Linked DNA regions of Arabidopsis thaliana. The protein of the gene in region 1 purifies or fractionates together with the protein of each later gene. This does not show direct contact. Each region holds a gene or a part of one and is shown on either strand. Other genes may lie near its edges. The genes, in order: EIF3G1, AT5G44320, AT2G46290 and TIF3C2.

Region 1 (4,522 bases):
GCATTTGAAACGAAGACGGTGACGAAGAACCAAACAAGCTGGCGAATTGGTCGCTTTCATTGTCCGATGATGAATTAGATGTTTTTTTGCCGACGACATCTATATTTTCGACATAGTCATTGTTGAAGTTTTGTAGTTCGTCACGGAAGATAATACTGAGTTTTGAAACCTTTTCCATTGTTTCAATGAAATTCTAAAATTTGACCTTCTACTAAGAAGAAATTACTTAAGCTGATATATATGCAGTTAAAAATAAATGGAAATTTTACTTTTTCGACTAAATTTAACAAAGGAAATTTTCTTATTTTTACATAATGATACGAAAATGTTATAATTACAATTAAAAGAATATACGTACTAACATTTGTTAATTAGTTATATTCTTCATTAATAAAGATTATTATTTTGATTGATATCTTAGAACGAAAAAGTAAAAGTCAAACAATATTTTTGTGAAACGGGGAATGTTAAACAAACATCACAAATAATTTTAGACATCAATGAAAAAAGTGTTGGAAAACTCTTACGTATCACACAAATCCATTTTTTAAAAAGCATGCCTTATGTATTAAAGAGAAATTGAACAAATTCTCATCTATTCATACAGAAACCAAACCAACAAACAAACTGGTCGATAAACAAAAATCCATAACAAGAAAGACGAGAATGAGAAGAGTTTTAAGGTCTCAACATCAGACATTTCTTTCTAGGTTGGTCTTGGAGTTGCCCATTCAACCCTGAGGATGAGGTTATCATAACCATAACCATTCAATTTGTTGATTGCTCTTTGAGCGTCTTCTCTGCTCACGAAATTGACGAAACCAAATCCTCTGCTCACTCCAGTTTTCTGATCAATGGCCACATAGACACGTGTGACAGCTCCAAACGGGTGGAACAGCTCCATCAAGTCAGGTTCACGGGTATCCTCGGACAGATTGGTTACACGCACAGAGTTCTCATCGTTCCTCCTCCTCATGTCTGAACCCACAGCGCTTCTGTCTGCACCTGCTCTCATGCTAGGCGGGACATACGCGGCCTTGCCAGTTCCAGGTGCAGCAGACATGGTAGATGATTCCCCTGTGGGTGGCTTGTCAATGAAGACATCGGTTGGTGCAGCTAGATCCTTGTATGGACATTTTGATGTCCAGTGATCTCCTTTCTTGTGGCATATCCTGCACACCATGAGAACTGCACCACCTTTACCCAGCTGAGACAAGCCATCTCCTGTTGCCTTTGATTCATCCGCTTTGGTACCTGAAGTATCACACACCGTTAAGATACACACAATTACACAAAGAATGAAAGATAGTTGTGAACCAATGGCCAACTCATAGTCAACTTTAAAATGATACAGTAATGCATAGCCACAGAATCAAACATAGCAACCTATGTCTGCACTATAAGCCACTGATTAACATCATCTTTGATGGCTATCTATACAACTAGTCATTCACCTATCAATAGATTGATCACGAAAGCCCTAGTAACATTATCAAGGAACTTAAACTTTGCCCGTTTACAAACCATTTGACATTGGTTCATTGAAACACAAGATCATGGTGACTCCTACATCAATCTAATTTTTTCATCAAGGTAATAACACAAAAGGAGACAACATGTCACAGGACAAAATTTTTAACAATCGAAACTAAAGCTTCCAAACATCAAATGGGAGACAACATGTCACAGGAGAAAAGCTTTAACAATCGAAACTAAAGCTTCCTAACATCAAGTAGGAGACCAATGAAAAGCTGCAACATCTATGTGTACAGTTAGCAGCCACAAAAGTGAGAGCACATTTCAGCTCGTACTCAGGAATGGACTACAAACAATAAACTGCTATCGGTGACATACTGACCAATCACACAAACAAGTAGCCTCACGGCTAACATGTGATTCGCTAATTGGTCACCTTAACCCAATAGTATTAGACTAAACAATAAAACTAATGAATCAAACAATGAATTGGACAGCAATCCCAAGTTAGAACATATCACAAACAACATCTTTCTAGGTGAGTCTAGAAACTTATTCACACAATTAGCACAGCCATAAGACTGAACATTTTACCAACTCAATTAGATCAAAGTGCACAAATTTATAATTTTAACTCCAAATTCAATACGAACCAATAACCCCACGAATCTCAACAAACAAAAATCACCAGAATCATCATCATCATCAGAGGGAGAGAATTTACCAGGAGCTCGGGGTCGTTCGAGAAGGATCTCTTCGGTAGAAACCATAGTGAGATGGCTACCAGCTTCCTCATTGGCTGCGTCTCCGAACTTAGGCCAGTTCCTCCTCTCCATGGCTCGTTTGTTGAGTCGAGCAGAAGCTAGCTTGCGGACACGTGTCCTAGTCGTTATCTTAACCTTATTTTCTTCATCGTTGAATTTGTACTCGATCGTCGTCTTCAAACCATTCTCATCTGGACCAATCACCTGCTTGGGAGGGAGCAAGAAATCCAGATCTTCGTCTTCGTCCATTTCCCCCCATCTGAATTTGCTCGTTTTTTGCTGCGAATCGATCGTCATCGTCACTCGTTTGGGATTCAGATGCGCCGCTTTTGCTTCGATCGTAACCTAAAACTGAAGAAGAAGACGAAGAAGAAGAAGCACTTTTAGGGTTTCCTATCTTATCTGTGTGTGCTCCGTAACCGGAACGCACCGTTTTGATTCCTTCAGAATTTTACTTGGTCCAGTAGCAATTTTAATGTGAAGAAATTCAATTTTTAAAATTCTAATATCTACAAAAAGCTGTGTCCAGGCCCGCTCCACTAAGCCTCTTACCCTCTTCTAGGAATTAATTTAGACTCTCTTATGTTTTTTGGGCTTTTCGTTATAACACTTATTTACAGGATTGATTCTTCTTTTAAAAGAACTACTGATTCCACAAGCGAAGCCCACATGTTTTGGCGTTTTGTCTACCAAAATTTTAAAACACAATTGATAAAGCACTGTACTGTTCTATCTCAAATCCAAAAACTATACGTAGAAAAAGCCAATGAAAGATTTTGTAAAACTGAATCACTTACACACTTTATAGACTGAAAGAGTATACAAAGAACCTTAAGAAAACAACACTATATTCTGCCTTGTAGTTCTAGTCAACTAACTAGAACAAAGAGCCGCATCTGTAACCAGACCAGTGGCCTTATAATTTACTAGCTTACTACTGGAAGACAAGAATAACTGCGATTGTTTGTGCACATGATGAAGGAATTGGAGTTCATGTCTTTCCTCGAAACCCCTGTGATGTCCCGGGTTGGTTTGCAATAAGATCGAATCAATGCTTTATGTTGACTTTAAAGTTCGCTGTAGTTACGCCAGACAGCCCTGAATTCTTCACGGAATGTGTTCAAGCGGGCCTTGAGGTTTGGAGTTCTCAGGCTTGCATGAAGAAGTATCACTAAGGGAGAGAGAAAAATTACAAGTCAAAAGGATGGAAACTGGACCCAAAAAAACAGAGAAAGAGATGAAAGCAAGGATAGCTTACTGAGAAGGGCAGTGGTAAGTGCATAGAGGACCCATAACAAACCACATGAAGTAAACCACAGGACAAAACTGGCTACATAAGGAAAATCATATATTTTGCATCAGTTCACAGAGAAGTTGCATACCAATAGGTGAGAGAGATTATATGATAAAGAGATAATAAGTACCGGTTAAGCCAAGTAAGACGAATACCAAACGTGGTTGGCCACAAATGTAGACTGTCTTTCTAGTTGCAGATCGCCCACGAATGACAGGCCTGCAAGGTGTTCACTCAAGTAGTAAATAACAAAAACCATCTGTAACTCTTCCATGGGAATAAAAAATTACTCACATGTGGGGAGGCCTCATCTTTGCAGCTAAATGTGGCGAGAAATGCCTAATGGTCCGGATCATCTTCTCATTAAAAGTAGCTGCAAAACTGCAAAAGACAAGAAAAACCTTAGCGCCATCAAATCAATGAGTAAAGTAAAAACCAACCATGCAAATCACTGAAAATAGAGAAACTTAAAACACTCAAGTTTTAAGAAACAACACCATTACATATTGAATTTCATACTAAGCACAGACACATCAAGGGTTTTACACTGACAATACTCATGATAGAGGAACCTTAAATCCCTCATGTTTACAGAATTAACGCCATAAACTATTGAATTTAGTACTACGCACAGACATTTTAAGGGCTAATCATTGAAAATAGAGAACTTTGCAACACTCGAGTTTTATATACCATCAAGAGAACCTTATTGAATCTAAACGCTAAGCACAGACACTTTAAGGAATCACTGAATATAGATAGAGAACCTCCTCCTAAACATTCTATAGATGCGAACCAACAACAACCGGAATAACAAATGCATCTTTAAGTAACGATAGACAGTAGAAACTAACGCGAAATCACAAGAAATACCTGTCGTTTAGGAAAGCTAAGCTTAAAGCTGTAAGAGCAGCACCAAGAATTGCCAGAGGTCGAGTGATAAGTGCAAGACCTGAGTCCACCACAACGGAGGAAAAAGAGTTAGAAA
Region 2 (4,734 bases), on another chromosome or scaffold:
TCCAAGATCTCATGGACTCAAGTTGAGAAAGGGTTCGCGATAACTTGGAAGTATCCAAGCGTGGTTTTAGAAGGAGATGATTCCGTTGGAGAGTTTTAATCCGTATCATTGACTAATAACTACCAGCAAGCTGATACATGGACCAATCCAGAGCTGAGAACGCTAGAAATACTTCGACTTGTGACTCGATGCTTATTGGTGACAATGCAGCCGCTAATACATATCCTTACATACAGGTACTTTGTATATGATCATCTAACCTTTTATTATAAGGTTATGATAAAAGCACCTCTAATGAAGATCTTATAACAGGTAAAGAATCCATCGGCGAGAATAGAGCATGAAGCAAGTACTTCAAAGATTGGAGAAGATCAGATTTTCTATTTTCAACAGAGAGGTATCGATCATGAGAGAGCATTAGCGGCAATGATCTCTGGATTTTGCAGAGATGTTTTCAACAAGTTGCCTAATGAATTTGGAGCCGAAGTTAACCAGCTTTTGAGCATTAAGCTTGAAGGATCAGTGGGTTAAACAAATCTCACAATTACTTAACATTAAAGAAAGCTTTACTTGTGCCCAACAAACTGCTAACAATTTTAGGCTTTCAATAATTAATTTTGGCTTGAGAAAACTGATATATAAACACTTGAGAAAAAGCATATTCTCGATCAGAAAAGAGTCTCACGAATAATCAAAGATGCTACTGTTCTCTAATGCCGGAATATCAATGACCAAGCACCTACCACAGTGATGACCTTTTAAGTTCAAAGAGTTAATTCAAAAACAACCAAGAAAGCATGAACCAACATTTTGGAACATAAATAGTCTATGAAAAAGTGAACAAGCTTTCGAACATTTTTTAAAAGTAACTCAAAACAACACGACTTGAAATATACCCATATCATCAAAATCAGGCTTCAACTTCGGATTTCTTATCCTCTACAGCTACATTAGTAGAGGAAACCCCATTAGTCTCTGCTCCTGCATCAGTGTTCTCCTCAGGTGGCTGAACCTGTTCATCTTCAGGGAGTGGCTCCTCCACATAATCATTGTCAAATGCATCAGCCGGAACTTCGTAAATCCTAACTTGAGGCTTCGATGGATCCTTCACTAGAACATACTTTCCTTCACTTAACTTCATACACAGATCAACAATCGACTTCACAATTCCCCACATATTGTTAGTGTTCAGATTGATCTGCCCAGCGAAATCTTTCGGCTTATACCCCAAAACCGATAATATAACATGGTTAAAATGATCACGAGGATGAACCCTCGAAACAAACCCAATCTTCATCATATCCGCATTAGCCAAGAGAGCCTGCGCAGTCCATTTAGCTAACTTATTACCATTGTTCTTCAACTCATTAGCTAAAACCGCACCTCTCTGAGTCTCAAGCTTCTGTCTCCAATCAACACCAGAGTACTTAGGATCAAACTCGTTAAGAGCATTCAAAGTTAAAAACGATCTCTGGTTATTCAAATCAACAGTGCTCTGTAACTCACACCTAGCAACTAGATACATACTATCATCAAGCTTCCATCTCCTATACCTATAAGCAATAGAAGCATTCTCTTCACCTTCATTAACATTAGGAATTGGCTCATCAAAAGTTTCCCTTTTCCCATTCTTAACCAAAACCTGCTGAGCAAAATTCTGATTAATATAAGCAGCCTCCAGACCTAGAGAATGAGCAGAGTTAATATCATCTTTACCCTCAGGCAAAGGCTCTTGAGAAGTCTCATGAACAGATAACAAATCAAGCGGTGACCCATCTCTCTTATCAAAGAAAAGCTTATTCCCAACACGTTGAATCACAAGATCCCATGAATAAACCGATCTAGGAGCACACATAAGAGCAGCTAGAATAGCATCAGTAGCAAAAACAGTAGCTTTATCTTCTTTAGCAAGACGTCTGATCACAAGATCATCACTTGTAGTAACCTTAAAGCTTCTGTTCTTGAAACGCTCAAGTCTACGATCAGCTTTAGGAGTAATACGATCAAAACTCCGATCATAAGACTCAAGTCCACCACAAAGAAGAAGATCTTCAGGTTCAGAAACTGTAAACGAAAGCTTAGAGAAAGTCGAAAACGGAATCTGCTCAAGCATATTCCATTCCGGTTGAATATCAACTGATGATTTAAACGCGGCGGCTTCACGGCGTTGCTGATGAATATTGTTACGATTGTTATTGTAGAGACGATCACGACGAGCTCGATCTTTCTCAGCTTCACGTTTCTTAGCTTCAACTTCTTCATCACGACGTTGAGGAAGCTGATTTCGGTTATGGTATTGATTGAATCTCCATTTAGGTCCGAATTTAGGACGCGGCGGTGGTTTTCCGTCGACTAATCGGAAAGCGGCGTCTTCGTCGGCGTTTCCACCTGAGTTTGTTAGACCAAATCCTTCATCTACTGCAAAAGCTGAGAAATCGAAGATCGCTGATGGATCTGATTTGGATCCGGTGTGAGGACGAGCTGATGGATTTGAGAGAGCTCGAGTCCAATCAGCAACGCGTCCGAGTTTTTCGGATCGTGAGAAGGAAGCGAAGGGGACGTTTGGGAGGAGATTCGCCGCCGCGACGCTGGTGGAGGAAGTGTCGGAAGCATCTGGTGGTCCCCAACCATCGGAATTGAATGGGACTGTGCCGACTTCGAATGCTTCAAACACCATTGTTGAGATTTGCGAAGAAGATGTGCGCAAGTGAAAAATTTGTATTTTATTTTGTCAACAATGAAAACCCTAGCCCTTAATGGGCCTCAATGGGCTTTTCTCTTGTCATAAGAAACTCTAGCCCTTTTAAGCCCATTATTATCTCACTCAGTCAAAAGGACGTCGGTTTAAGCTAACCAATGCTTTTGGTTTGGGCTATATTCTCTCAATCGAAATTTTGGGTTATATTCAACCGTACATTTATTAAGGAATTAAGAAACCGGCTTAGAACCGGTTCATGATCTGTTAACCAATAACTGAACGTTGCACTTCAATTCAAAAGTTTACGAATTTGTACTCGTCGCAAAACTTATTTTATTTAGATCCTTGTTTTTATATCCATGTCTCACTTCTTTCCCCTAAGTTTTTCATTGGTTACTTAAGGTCCAACTATATAAAGACTTTTTTACTCTCTTCTCTTCTTCAGAGAAAATTCAAAAAGAATCTCCAATTTTCTCGGGAAAATTTCTCCATTAGTCTCTTCTCTTTTCCGGCTTGGAATCGCTTTGCTTCTTAATCTTTAACAAACACGTTCCATAGAACCCCAAAAATTTGATCATCGGAAACATTTTCTCGGGGAAGTAAAGAAGATTTTCCCGAGAAAAGAAGATTCTCACTATGCGGCGTCGTGAGAGCCGTGGTGCTAAGGGAGGAGGTTTCTTGACTCCACCACCGTCATGGCACACGACGAGAAGAGTTTACATTGCGATGCCGATTTCGGAGAGGAAAAGATCACCTTTGATCGAGAATCAAGAATCGTTTAGGGTTCGTACTGGTGATTCTCCTTACGTCAGAGCCAAACATGCTCAGGTAATATCAATATAGGGTTTTTAGTGAATTGTATTGGTTTATGTGTATGAACGTTTGTTCTTGACATGGAATTGTTTTCAATAACAGTTGGTTTCTAAAGACCCGAATCGAGCTATCTCGTTGTTTTGGGCGGCGATTAATGCTGGAGATAGAGTTGATAGTGCATTGAAGGACATGGTAGTTGTTTTAAAACAGTTGAACCGATTCGATGAAGGAATCGAAGCTATCAAGTCTTTTCGATATCTCTGCCCTTTTGAATCTCAAGATTCTATTGATAACTTGTTACTTGAACTCTACATGGTAAAACTTTCTCAGTATGACTAATTGTGAAGCTATTTCTATGCTCAGTATGTGATTTTGATGGATTTTGGTTTTGCAGAAGTCTGGGAGGATTACAGAGGTCGCTGAGCTGCTTGAACACAAACTGAGAACACTTGAACAAGACAAACATTATGGTGGCAGGATCAAAATAGCGAAAAGAAGCCATGAGGAGCAGAATAACAAGACAATCGAGCAAGAGAAAGCACGGCAAGACAATCTCCCATCTCCGCTTTATACCTGAAAGAGTAGTTTCTCTGACTTTCTTGGTGTTTGGATATGTAGGATTCTAGGGAACTTAGCTTGGGTTCACTTACAGCTTCATAACTATGGAATTGCAGAGCAGTATTACAGGTTTGTGAAACACCATCAATCCCATTAAGAATGTTAGTTTTATCATTGCCTTAACAAGTGAAATGGGTTTTACTGTGATAGGAATGCTTTGTCTTTGGAACCTGACAATAACAAGTTGTGCAATCTTGCAATCTGTTTGATACGTATGGAAAGAACCCATGAAGCTAAATCTCTGCTTGAGGATGTAAAACAGTCTCTAGGGAATCAATGGAAGAATGAACCGTTTTGCAAGTCTTTTGAACGGGCTACTGAGATGTTAGCAGAAAGAGAACAAGCAACAGTAGCGGATAAACCAGAAGATTTGCTGACAAGTAGCTTTTCAGATAACTTCTCTTCGAGATGTTCAGGTGGGATGAAAGGAAAGAAGGCTCTAGCTGGAACTAGCACTGAACTGGGTAATATTCACAAGACAAACTCGCATGCTTCCTCTGAATCGGTTGAACAAAACTCACCAGGTCTGACTACACAACCCCGGGAATGTAAATGGGTAGATGAGGAAGTAGATCAGAGTAAATGGGATGCGACAATTGGTGCTT
Region 3 (4,588 bases), on another chromosome or scaffold:
GTAGTGATACACATGAGGAAAAACAGATTAACTGATATAATGGAATTTTGTTATTTTTGGACTTCTTATCCTAATTCTGAAAAACAAGCCATTTTTTTCGAATTCCACATTTCCACTTGACATTTTACCAATTTAGGCCCCCAAAAATGGCACACCATTTCGATATCTATATTTTTGTTTACGAAACATTTCAGCCCATATACTTTACGGGCCCATTAGTGTCTAAAGATTCATACGCCACCTGAACAATATTTTCCCACCACCATTACACAAACATGTCGAAAATATTCTTAACATAAAAATCACCACATTACATTATGTTTACTGCCCAAATAATAACCCACATAAAATATTACACACAAAATAATCTATCTCACACAAAATAATAATAAAACAAACACTCGCTAAATATGCCCCCCTCAGTGAATTTGATCAAATACCCCAAAAATAAAATTAATAACATGTGTGGAGTATAAAACACGAAAAAATAAAATTACAAAAGAAAGAAGATAACATATCTACAGTAAAGTTACAAGTATACAGATGTTAGATCATCGTGTTTTTCCAAATCCTCGAATCCTTCCGTCTTGTTACTGTATAGTTACCCTGCAACGTAATAATTAATAATCTCATATAAAAGTTTAGAAATTTTGGATGTAATTAACATCAAAAACCAAAATCCTAATTACTGATAATTTTGTACCATTTGAGTGTATTGAGAATGCATTTAGGTGAATCAGTATCAAGCTTGTTCAAGCTAACGCCACCGCATCTCAAATTAACGGCGAGCATTCCGATCTTAATACCGCCGACACCTAATCCAACTTTAGTCTTGGCAACAACGTTAATGACCAAATCTTTGCTCTGAAATTTCGCAGCGAGTCTCTTAGCCAATCCTCTCTCCACGAGCTGATTCTTCACCGTCGTCTCCACTTTCACGCTCGTCGAGTTTTTGGGACCTTGTCGGAATCCATTCATCGTCGTCTCTCCCATCCCGGTCTCATCGTTTCCCGAACCAACGCTCAAATCAACGGCAGTGTTTCCGTAGTAAAAAACGAGTTTCGAGTTCGGATTCTTCATCTCAACGCGGGCAACGGCGGTGGCGGAGAGAGACGCGCCGTCGGGATCGTCGGCGAGTTTGAAGCCGTCGAGACGGAAGGAAGCGAGGCTGAAAGTGGGAAGCTTAGGATCGAACCAGAGGTAGAAAACAGCTGTTCCGACCAAGAGGAGGAAGATGAAGAGAACAAGAGTAATGCAGATGCAACAGCAACAGAAACGACAACAGCTTCTACGTTTTTTCTTTGGTCGGTAAGAAGTAGGCATAGGGACGGCTTTTCTCATAGGTTGTTGTTGAATGGGAGGTGGAGGAGGAGGAGGAGAGGACATGTTTGGATCTCTGTAACCTGGTGGCTTTTGAAGAACCGGGTTCATCTGATAATCTGCCATCTTTTTTCTCTTAATTATTCACCTCTCTGACGATCTCCTGATAAATCGTATCAAGGAAGATCAAAACGAAATCTTCAAAATGGAGAGAGAGATGCTATGATGATGATGATTGCAGGCAAACTTGGTTTCTAAGAGATTTTGAGTTTTTGGAAGAGAGAGAGAGAGAAGAGAATGTTTTTTTGTGTTGCGTTGTCTCTTCTCTCTCGTTAATGGAAGAAGGCTGAGACGTGAGGAAGGGATTTCGTTTTAGGCCCGAGACTCACGCGCGCCGTTTTTGTTGCTGACGTGTTCCCTCTTTTTTCTCTTCTTCCTACATTCATTGAAATATTCAAATTTCAGTTATTAGATTAGTCGATTAATTTATAACTGATAATCATATTGAGTTTGATACATCCAAAGTGGCATGGGCCTACAGATTAGATGTTTAGGCCAGGTGGACTCTGTTTCGAGCCCATTACTGCCACGTGGCTCTATTCGGAGTTATTTACCAATGGTACGCTCACCGGTTTAACGATTCACCACTTAAAGCCCTCAAAATCTCAGAGAACGCTCGCTGATCAAATCCGTCGTCCTTCAACCGTCGCCTCCTCCGTCATGACAATTGAGTGCGTTAATCCCGAAGGTCTTCGATTCAACCAAGTATGTGCACATATCTCTTCCTCCGTTTGGTCATGTACTTGTTTCCGATTAATGTATTATCTTTTGTTCTTTCTATTGAATTGATTTCGTATCTGTTTGCAAGATGAAAAGCTCCTCTCATCAAACCCTAGAAACGAGGATGAGGCCGATTTTGATGAAGGGACATGAACGTCCATTGACGTTCCTGAGGTACAACAGAAATGGTGATCTGCTTTTCTCCTGCGCCAAAGACCACACTCCCACAGTCTGGTTTGCCGATAACGGCGAGCGTCTTGGCACTTACCGTGGCCACAGTGGTGCTGTTTGGTGCTGTGATATCTCCAGTAAGTGGTCTCAGCCTCTCAAATTCAAATAGTATATAGTGGATGGAATGGATTCAGTTTAGGATTTAAGTCGTTGTCTTTGTTGTTTTAGTCTTTCATAGCTTAACGATTAGTGTTTTGTTTGTGATTTCTTAGGAGACTCGTCTAGATTGATCACTGGTAGTGCTGATCAGACTGCAAAGCTGTGGGATGTGAAATCTGGCAAAGAATTGTTCACTTTCAAGTTTGGTGCCCCTGCAAGGTCTGTGGATTTCTCTGTTGGTGATCATCTTGCAGTGATTACCACTGATCACTTCGTGGGAACTTCCTCTGCTATTCATGTCAAACGCATTGCAGAAGATCCCGAAGACCGTAAGTTGTCAATTCTAAGTTAAAATCTACTTATGTTTTTTAGCCTATGTCTTTTTTGTATGGGTAAAAGGAATTGATTTAATGTAATTGATGTAGAGGTTGGTGATTCTGTGCTTGTCCTTCAAAGTCCTGATGGAAAGAAGAAGATCAATAGAGCTGTTTGGGGTCCCCTGAACCAAACCATTGTTAGTGGTGGTGAAGATGCTGCTATCAGAATCTGGGATGCAGAGGTATTTCAACTTTCTTAAGGCCTTTCTTTTGTCTATCAATATCTCTCTTTTTTTTTTTATTAGCTTAAACCTTATGTGGTGCTACTGCCATTGTTACTAGACTGGAAAATTGCTTAAGCAATCAGATGAGGAAGTGGGTCACAAGGAGGCCATTACATCCCTCTGCAAAGCAGCTGATGACTCTCACTTCCTTACAGGTTCACATGACAAAACTGCAAAGGCATGTGCTTCTTTCTTTTACTTGTTTCAAAAATATGCTCTATACATATTACATATAGAGATAAATCATCTAATAGAGTGTTCTTTTTGTTGATTCTTTCAGCTTTGGGACATGAGAACGCTGACTCTTATTAAGACTTACACCACTGTGGTGCCTGTAAATGCTGTCGCCATGTCTCCACTTCTCAACCATGTATGCACTAATGCTTCTTGAAATTCAAATTCGGTTCCCAAAAGCAACAAGTCTTGATGTTATCTTTGTGAATGTTTCTGCTCTCGCTCTTTTAGGTTGTGCTTGGAGGTGGTCAAGATGCATCAGCTGTGACTACCACTGATCATCGTGCTGGGAAGTTTGAAGCTAAGTTTTACGACACGGTTAGTGTTGCAGTAAAACAGTTTTATTTAAAAACTTGTAACCTGGAAAGAGATATGTAACTGTGTATTTGGTCTTATAATATATAGATTCTGCAAGAGGAAATTGGTGGCGTGAAAGGTCATTTTGGACCTATTAATGCTTTGGCATTCAGTCCTGATGGGAAGAGGTAAACTAACAAAATTTGATTTTGATTGATTGATACAATCCTCAGTTGATGAGAGTGTTTTTTAGGCTTTGTTGCTGAGTGTTTTTTGGAATGTATTTTCAGTTTCTCTAGTGGAGGTGAAGACGGCTACGTGAGACTGCATCATTTTGACTCCAATTACTTCAACATCAAGATTTAGATTCTTTGAACATGTCTTTCCATTTTTTCATCATTCCACATAATATTTTCTCTCTTTTTAACATTTTCAGAATTGATGTACTACCAAATTACCAATATACTACTTTGATGATAAAGCTTGTTGTTTGTCTTTTCAAATAGACATATGCACCCACAAAAAAAAAACGTATGAAACTGCTTTTGAGAAAGGAAAAAAACAAAATAGGCGCAACGGGCGAGGTTCGAACTCATCAAATAGGGAAGAAGCTAAAAACGCTGAAGCCACTGAGCTTTGCTAAACTGTGGCATCTCGAGTAATTTAAAAAATTACAAAAGGGTAAAAGTGTCAAAAGAGAGGACAAAGTTGATTTCCTAGGGTTTTTGCACTTCTTCCTCGTCGTCTCTCTCGTCTTCAAGTGAACAGGTGAAGAAGAAAGCCGTTTTCCGTAATCGTTTCTTCAATTATTTTTCTTGTCTTTTGATTGATTCGATTTCGTATCTGTTTCAAAGATTCGCATCAAACCCTAAGAAACTGAAGATGAGGCCGATCCTGATGAAGGGACATGAACGTCCATTGACGTTTCTGAGGTACAACAGAGAAGGAGATCTGCTTTTCTCCTGCGCCAAGGACCACACACCCACCCTCTGGTTTGCCGATAACGGCGAGCGCCTTGGAACTTAC
Region 4 (4,734 bases), 4.5 Mb from region 1:
ATCAAATGAGTTAAAGCCGGTACCAAGGGTAGACAGTTCGGGTGAGGTTTGCGGTGTAACGTTTAAAGTGGATTCTGAGGCCAAGAAAGAAGCGATGCCTAGGGTTGGGAGTGTTCAGAATTGGTCTAAACAAATCTGAACTAGCTGAAAAAGGCTTGTTTTATTTTTTACTTGTTGGACTCCTGTGGCTGTGTTCCACAGATTTACTCTTTTCCTGATATTCTCACTGTAGCCATTCTAAGGACTAATGGTGCTCTTATTGCTATTGTACCTGTACTTGGTAACAAGGAAGCTAAGAATAAAATATTTTATAAACGTCTAATGATTCCAGTGTATGCATATGATGTCATATTGATAAAACCAGAGCTGCAAGAACATGAGCTCCAACAATAACAATTCATAAACAACCTTTGGTAACAAAACAAAACCTAAAACTGTAATGAAACATAATGACAGGTCTTAGACTCTTAGTAAGAGCCTAAGGTTAACACTGCCTGCAGATTTCTCCACATTCTCTTTACGCAGAAACGCCTCGGGTAAGACTTGAGCCATCCATTTTCAGACCTCTGTTGTCTGATGCTGCTGCTGCATAGTCCTGACTGTTTTCCCTTCTCCTTGAAGTCATATCAAGGCCAACACCACCAGTTTTAGACTCCATTGCACTTTCGTTGCTTTCTGCTAGAGTCGCGAGTTTTTCGGTAATCTGAAAAGCCAAGGATTGTGCTCTGTTATGTTGCACTTCATGGAAGACGATGCATTGAGTTGGCTGGTCCCATGTTGCATTAAGCTCCTTGTTGATCATCATCTTGCTCACAATACTATAGACGTGTGACTCAGAGATGTCAAACATTTTGGCTAGCTCAGCTAGACTTAAGGACTTGTAACAGGAGCTCGAGTATGTGAATAAATAAGTCCTTAGAGCCACTTCACTGATACTAGCTTTCACCATATCGAGTATGCTGTCGCGGTTCTTGAACAGTCTCCAGATATCAAGAGAGTTCAAAACTGAAAACGCTTCTTGGAAGTTTCCTTTGATCAGGGCTCTGGTGGCTGCAATGACATGGACACGTACATTTTCAGGGGGTGCAGTGAACGCTTGCTTCTCACTTTTCTCGAGCAGGCGCTGAATATTCTTGCTAATCGGTTTGTGTTTGGAATCATGCGAGTTTGCTGCCATGTTTGGGACTTCAAGTAGCATGGCACAAGTAAGATAAACAGCCTCCAAGAGCTCGAGGTTTATGTTCATATGGTACGGTATTTGTGTTCTCCTCTCCATAAGCATCTATAGTTAAAACAAAAAACAGAGAAATTAGACTCTACTAAAATGAAAAAGAACATAATATGTTCTATAAGGTCAATATTTACCTGCTCTGTTGTCTTCTCGTGGTCTCGACTTTGCGAGACACCTTGACCAAGCAACTCCCTAACTCTATTCCCAGAGTACAGCTCAGAGAGACAGCTATGTGACTCAGTTATCATTCCAACCCGAAAAGCGCAAAGACCAAGTTGTGCCATTGTCCTGTTAAAGAGAATCTGTGTAGAGATGTCCATGTGTTGAATGTTTTCTTGTAGATGACTCATCAGCAACAAGTCTCTAGCAGTAACAAAATTGTCCATTAAAGCATGTTGATAGATATCACATAGCATTGCTCTGGCTTTGGTCCTCTCATCTCCATTTTTGTAGATAAAGGATACAAGTGTATCCATCATAGCTCTGCTGCTCTTTGCGAAGGTAGGCTTACGAGGAACAATCTCCGCAACAACAATGAATGAAGAAGAAGAAGATCCACTTTCCTCGTTAGCCTCCTCAATTTCCTCATCAGCCAATTTACTCATAGCATCAAAAACTTCTTGAGGCTTGTAATAGATTGACTCGACTAGTATAAAGGCTACCTTTGAAGCAGCTTTAGAATCGCCTGTCCGCTCCAAGTAGTCTTGGATACTCTGAGCAAGAGCCAAGAACATAGGCTCATCTTTCAACCTCTCAACATAATCATTGGTGTGAGGATCAATGCACTGCAAACTCTTGAAAAACTCTGTCTCAATCTTCTCTAAGAATGCAACCAAATTTCCCGAGACCCGAATGGTTCCATCGTATGCCGCTGGCTTTGAAGTTTCCTTCTCATCAGGTTCAACGGTATCATCCACAACAATGTTATAGTACTTGACAAGAATGTCAAGTATGGTAAGCATGTTAACCACACATTTCTTCCAGACATCGATAGGCATGTATCCGCTGAGACCACCAGAATTCACATTAAACTCTGCTGAAATAACACTAAACAAGATTTCAACCTTCTGTGCAGGAGTCTTGGCGATCTTTGTCAAGTCCATATGCTTCTGCGCATGAGTCTCGCCGGGTTTGAGTTTAAGGCTAGAACTTCTTCTTTTGCTCCAACGAGCAGCCCTAATTTCTTTGAACTTCTTGTTGACCATGTTCCAAGTTATCTCTTCATGATCTAAACTAAACAACATCTCCCAAGAAACATTATCAGCAGAATCCTCCACCACCTCCTCTTCATACTCATCATCGTCTTCGATTTCTGGAGACTCCCTAAATCTTTTGATATCTTCTTGGTACTGCAGATTGTTCTTCTTCAGTTTCTGTCTCATTGCGTTCAAAGCCTTGGAGTTACTAGTACTCATCTTCTCCTTTGTTTTCATATTATCTTCATTCAAGAAATCTTCCAACATCACAAGGGTCTTGATATACAAAGTCGGAGTCTTTACGGACTTACTAATCTGTTTGTTGAGTTTCTCAAACGTTTCTTGCAAGTAAACACAATCATTGATGTTCATGGCATGCTTCATATTCTCTATAGTGTTGGCCATCTCCTCAAAACGTTTATCTTTTTTTGGCTTAACCACACGTTTAGTATCCATACCACAACAAATCTCACCGTCAGGTAAGTCTGCAAGGTAACGAGTGTTGTTACCCTCAACCTCTTCTTTTTCAAAGTCACTCTCATCTTCACTTTCACTTCCACTCTGTAAACGAAACATAAGCAAAGAAAAAGCATTAAGAAACTGTTACAAAAAAATATAGGTTTTGATAAGTAAACAAAGGTCTATGGAAAGAAACCTGAGCGAAAAAACGAGAAGTCGTCGTCATCTTCGTTAGCAAGGAGAAGAACCTGATACATCAAAATATAAAACTTTGAGACGATGGAGATATAATTGCAGGGGGGACACAAAACATAGATGAAGAACAAAAAACTCGAACCTAAAATTTGTTCAAGGAAAGATGAAGAAGAATGAAATTACCTTTGATTGATTTGAGACGATGGAGAGATTGATGTGAGACGATGGAGATGCTTGACTAGAGAATAACGAATCGTTAAGAAGAGAGGCGAATTAGGGTTTACTATAAGAGAATATTACGTGATTAGACACTTTTTTGAAAGTTTATCCGTAATTAGGCACTTAAAAATCATTAGGCACTTTGAATAATTAAAATTACTTGTTCACCCTCGTATCGTCGGTTTTCTATAACCAAACAAATCAAATCTATTTTCACTAAACCAATTCAGATTTATGGAGTCCACGATTTTGTAGTTGCCTTTGTGATTTAAATTTTTTTTCCAGAATCGTAAAAATCCAAATCCAATAAAAAATCCTAAATTACAATTTCTCGAAAAGGGGACTCCGGCGACGGGATATCCATCTCCTCCGTCACTGTCCACCACCACTGCTTTTCACACTACACTCTCGTTTGCTCTTTCAACCGTAAAACACCAAACCCAATTCTCTTGTCATTTCCTCTAAATCTCTGCAATTTCTTAAATCGATTTGGATTTACTTTGCCTGAAAATCTCTTAACTCGTACTGTCCAAACTCAATTTCAATTTCAATTGAGGTTACTTCGAGAAAAGTTCAAGAATTTCGGAACAACTAAGGTAAAGTTTTGTCATGTTGACTTCGGAGATCTTGTTCGTAATTCTGTGATAATGTTTGATAACTTCTCTGCCCAGTTTGTTTGAAATTCAGTACTTGAGGTTCTCTATTGGACAGAAGATGAACATATGGACTACAACACTTGGACAATCCGTAATGGACAACCACACATTTTGTTTGCAGCGTATGTGTCGTTACAAAATTGAAAATCATTGTCCACGACCATACATGACTGCACAGCTTGGTGTTTGATAATTCAAGGAAAAAGCCATATAAAGGTTCTATTTCTTAATCTTACATTTTGGAAGAAATCAAATCATTGATTTAAGAAATAATATGTAAGCTTGGATGCTAGAGCTTTAGGTGATCCTATGGCCAGATTAGGATATTGATTTAACTTTGTTCTTACTGCTACTCAACATTGATTGTCTGGTATTAAGTTGTAAAAGAGTAATTTGACTTATCCATTTGTGTTGATATAATTGGTCATTATAATGTGATTAGTCAATAGAAAACCTTAGAGTACATAATATCAAACTTTTAACTTTGTTAATTTCTTTAGGCGAGTGGGTGAATACATCAGTTAGACTTGCTTTTGCACATCATGTGATCATCGTTATTGATGTCATCCAAAGAAATTTGTCCATTCATACGCAAACATGAAGGTACTGTTGTTTGGACACTCCTTACTTTAAAACCCCACCTTAGTTTGCAAGTCATTACTTGACTAATTTACTTTAAAAACAAAATTTAGGTTAGGAACATTGTGTCAGATCCTATTTTCGATACAAGTGGGAACATCCAAGTCAACAAACCTACAATGGGGTACCAAATTTTATT

What was found.
Region 2: the proteins of EIF3G1 (region 1) and AT5G44320 fractionate together in Arabidopsis thaliana (co-fractionation; one large-scale study listed by BioGRID). This does not show direct contact.
Region 3: the proteins of EIF3G1 (region 1) and AT2G46290 fractionate together in Arabidopsis thaliana (co-fractionation; one large-scale study listed by BioGRID). This does not show direct contact.
Region 4: the proteins of EIF3G1 (region 1) and TIF3C2 fractionate together in Arabidopsis thaliana (co-fractionation; one large-scale study listed by BioGRID). This does not show direct contact.

What each region holds. Positions count from the first base shown.
Region 1 is NC_003074.8:3,576,551-3,581,072, reverse strand, and holds EIF3G1 (eukaryotic translation initiation factor 3G1), read right to left. Parts: upstream 2,686-4,522; 5' UTR 2,538-2,685; coding exon 2,201-2,537; intron 1,913-2,200; coding exon 1,884-1,912; intron 1,823-1,883; coding exon 1,771-1,822; exon of another isoform or gene 1,764-1,770; intron 1,255-1,763; coding exon 707-1,254; 3' UTR 504-706; downstream 1-503. Other genes in the region: AT3G11405 (uncharacterized protein), read right to left, coding at 1-178; PRA1.A3 (prenylated RAB acceptor 1.A3), read right to left, coding at 3,308-3,411, 3,499-3,570, 3,665-3,753, 3,829-3,915, 4,408-4,486.
Region 2 is NC_003076.8:17,853,991-17,858,724, forward strand, and holds AT5G44320 (Eukaryotic translation initiation factor 3 subunit 7 (eIF-3)), read right to left. Parts: upstream 2,751-4,734; 5' UTR 2,678-2,750; coding exon 911-2,677; 3' UTR 557-910; downstream 1-556. Other genes in the region: ABCI9 (Stabilizer of iron transporter SufD superfamily protein), read left to right, coding at 1-92, 152-236, 313-531; AT5G44330 (Tetratricopeptide repeat (TPR)-like superfamily protein), read left to right, coding at 3,335-3,526, 3,614-3,826, 3,906-4,054, 4,130-4,198, 4,280-4,734.
Region 3 is NC_003071.7:19,005,250-19,009,837, reverse strand, and holds AT2G46290 (Transducin/WD40 repeat-like superfamily protein), read left to right. Parts: upstream 1-1,885; 5' UTR 1,886-2,040; coding exon 2,041-2,085; intron 2,086-2,188; coding exon 2,189-2,408; intron 2,409-2,543; coding exon 2,544-2,759; intron 2,760-2,855; coding exon 2,856-2,989; intron 2,990-3,089; coding exon 3,090-3,209; intron 3,210-3,311; coding exon 3,312-3,401; intron 3,402-3,496; coding exon 3,497-3,583; intron 3,584-3,670; coding exon 3,671-3,750; intron 3,751-3,852; coding exon 3,853-3,928; 3' UTR 3,929-4,067; downstream 4,068-4,588. Other genes in the region: AT2G46300 (Late embryogenesis abundant (LEA) hydroxyproline-rich glycoprotein family), read right to left, coding at 591-606, 704-1,446; TRIP-1 (TGF-beta receptor interacting protein 1), read left to right, coding at 4,445-4,588.
Region 4 is NC_003074.8:8,090,137-8,094,870, forward strand, and holds TIF3C2 (eukaryotic translation initiation factor 3 subunit C2), read right to left. Parts: upstream 3,113-4,734; coding exon 3,083-3,112; intron 2,989-3,082; coding exon 1,366-2,988; intron 1,283-1,365; coding exon 518-1,282; downstream 1-517. Other genes in the region: AT3G22850 (aluminum induced protein with YGL and LRDR motifs), read left to right, coding at 1-139.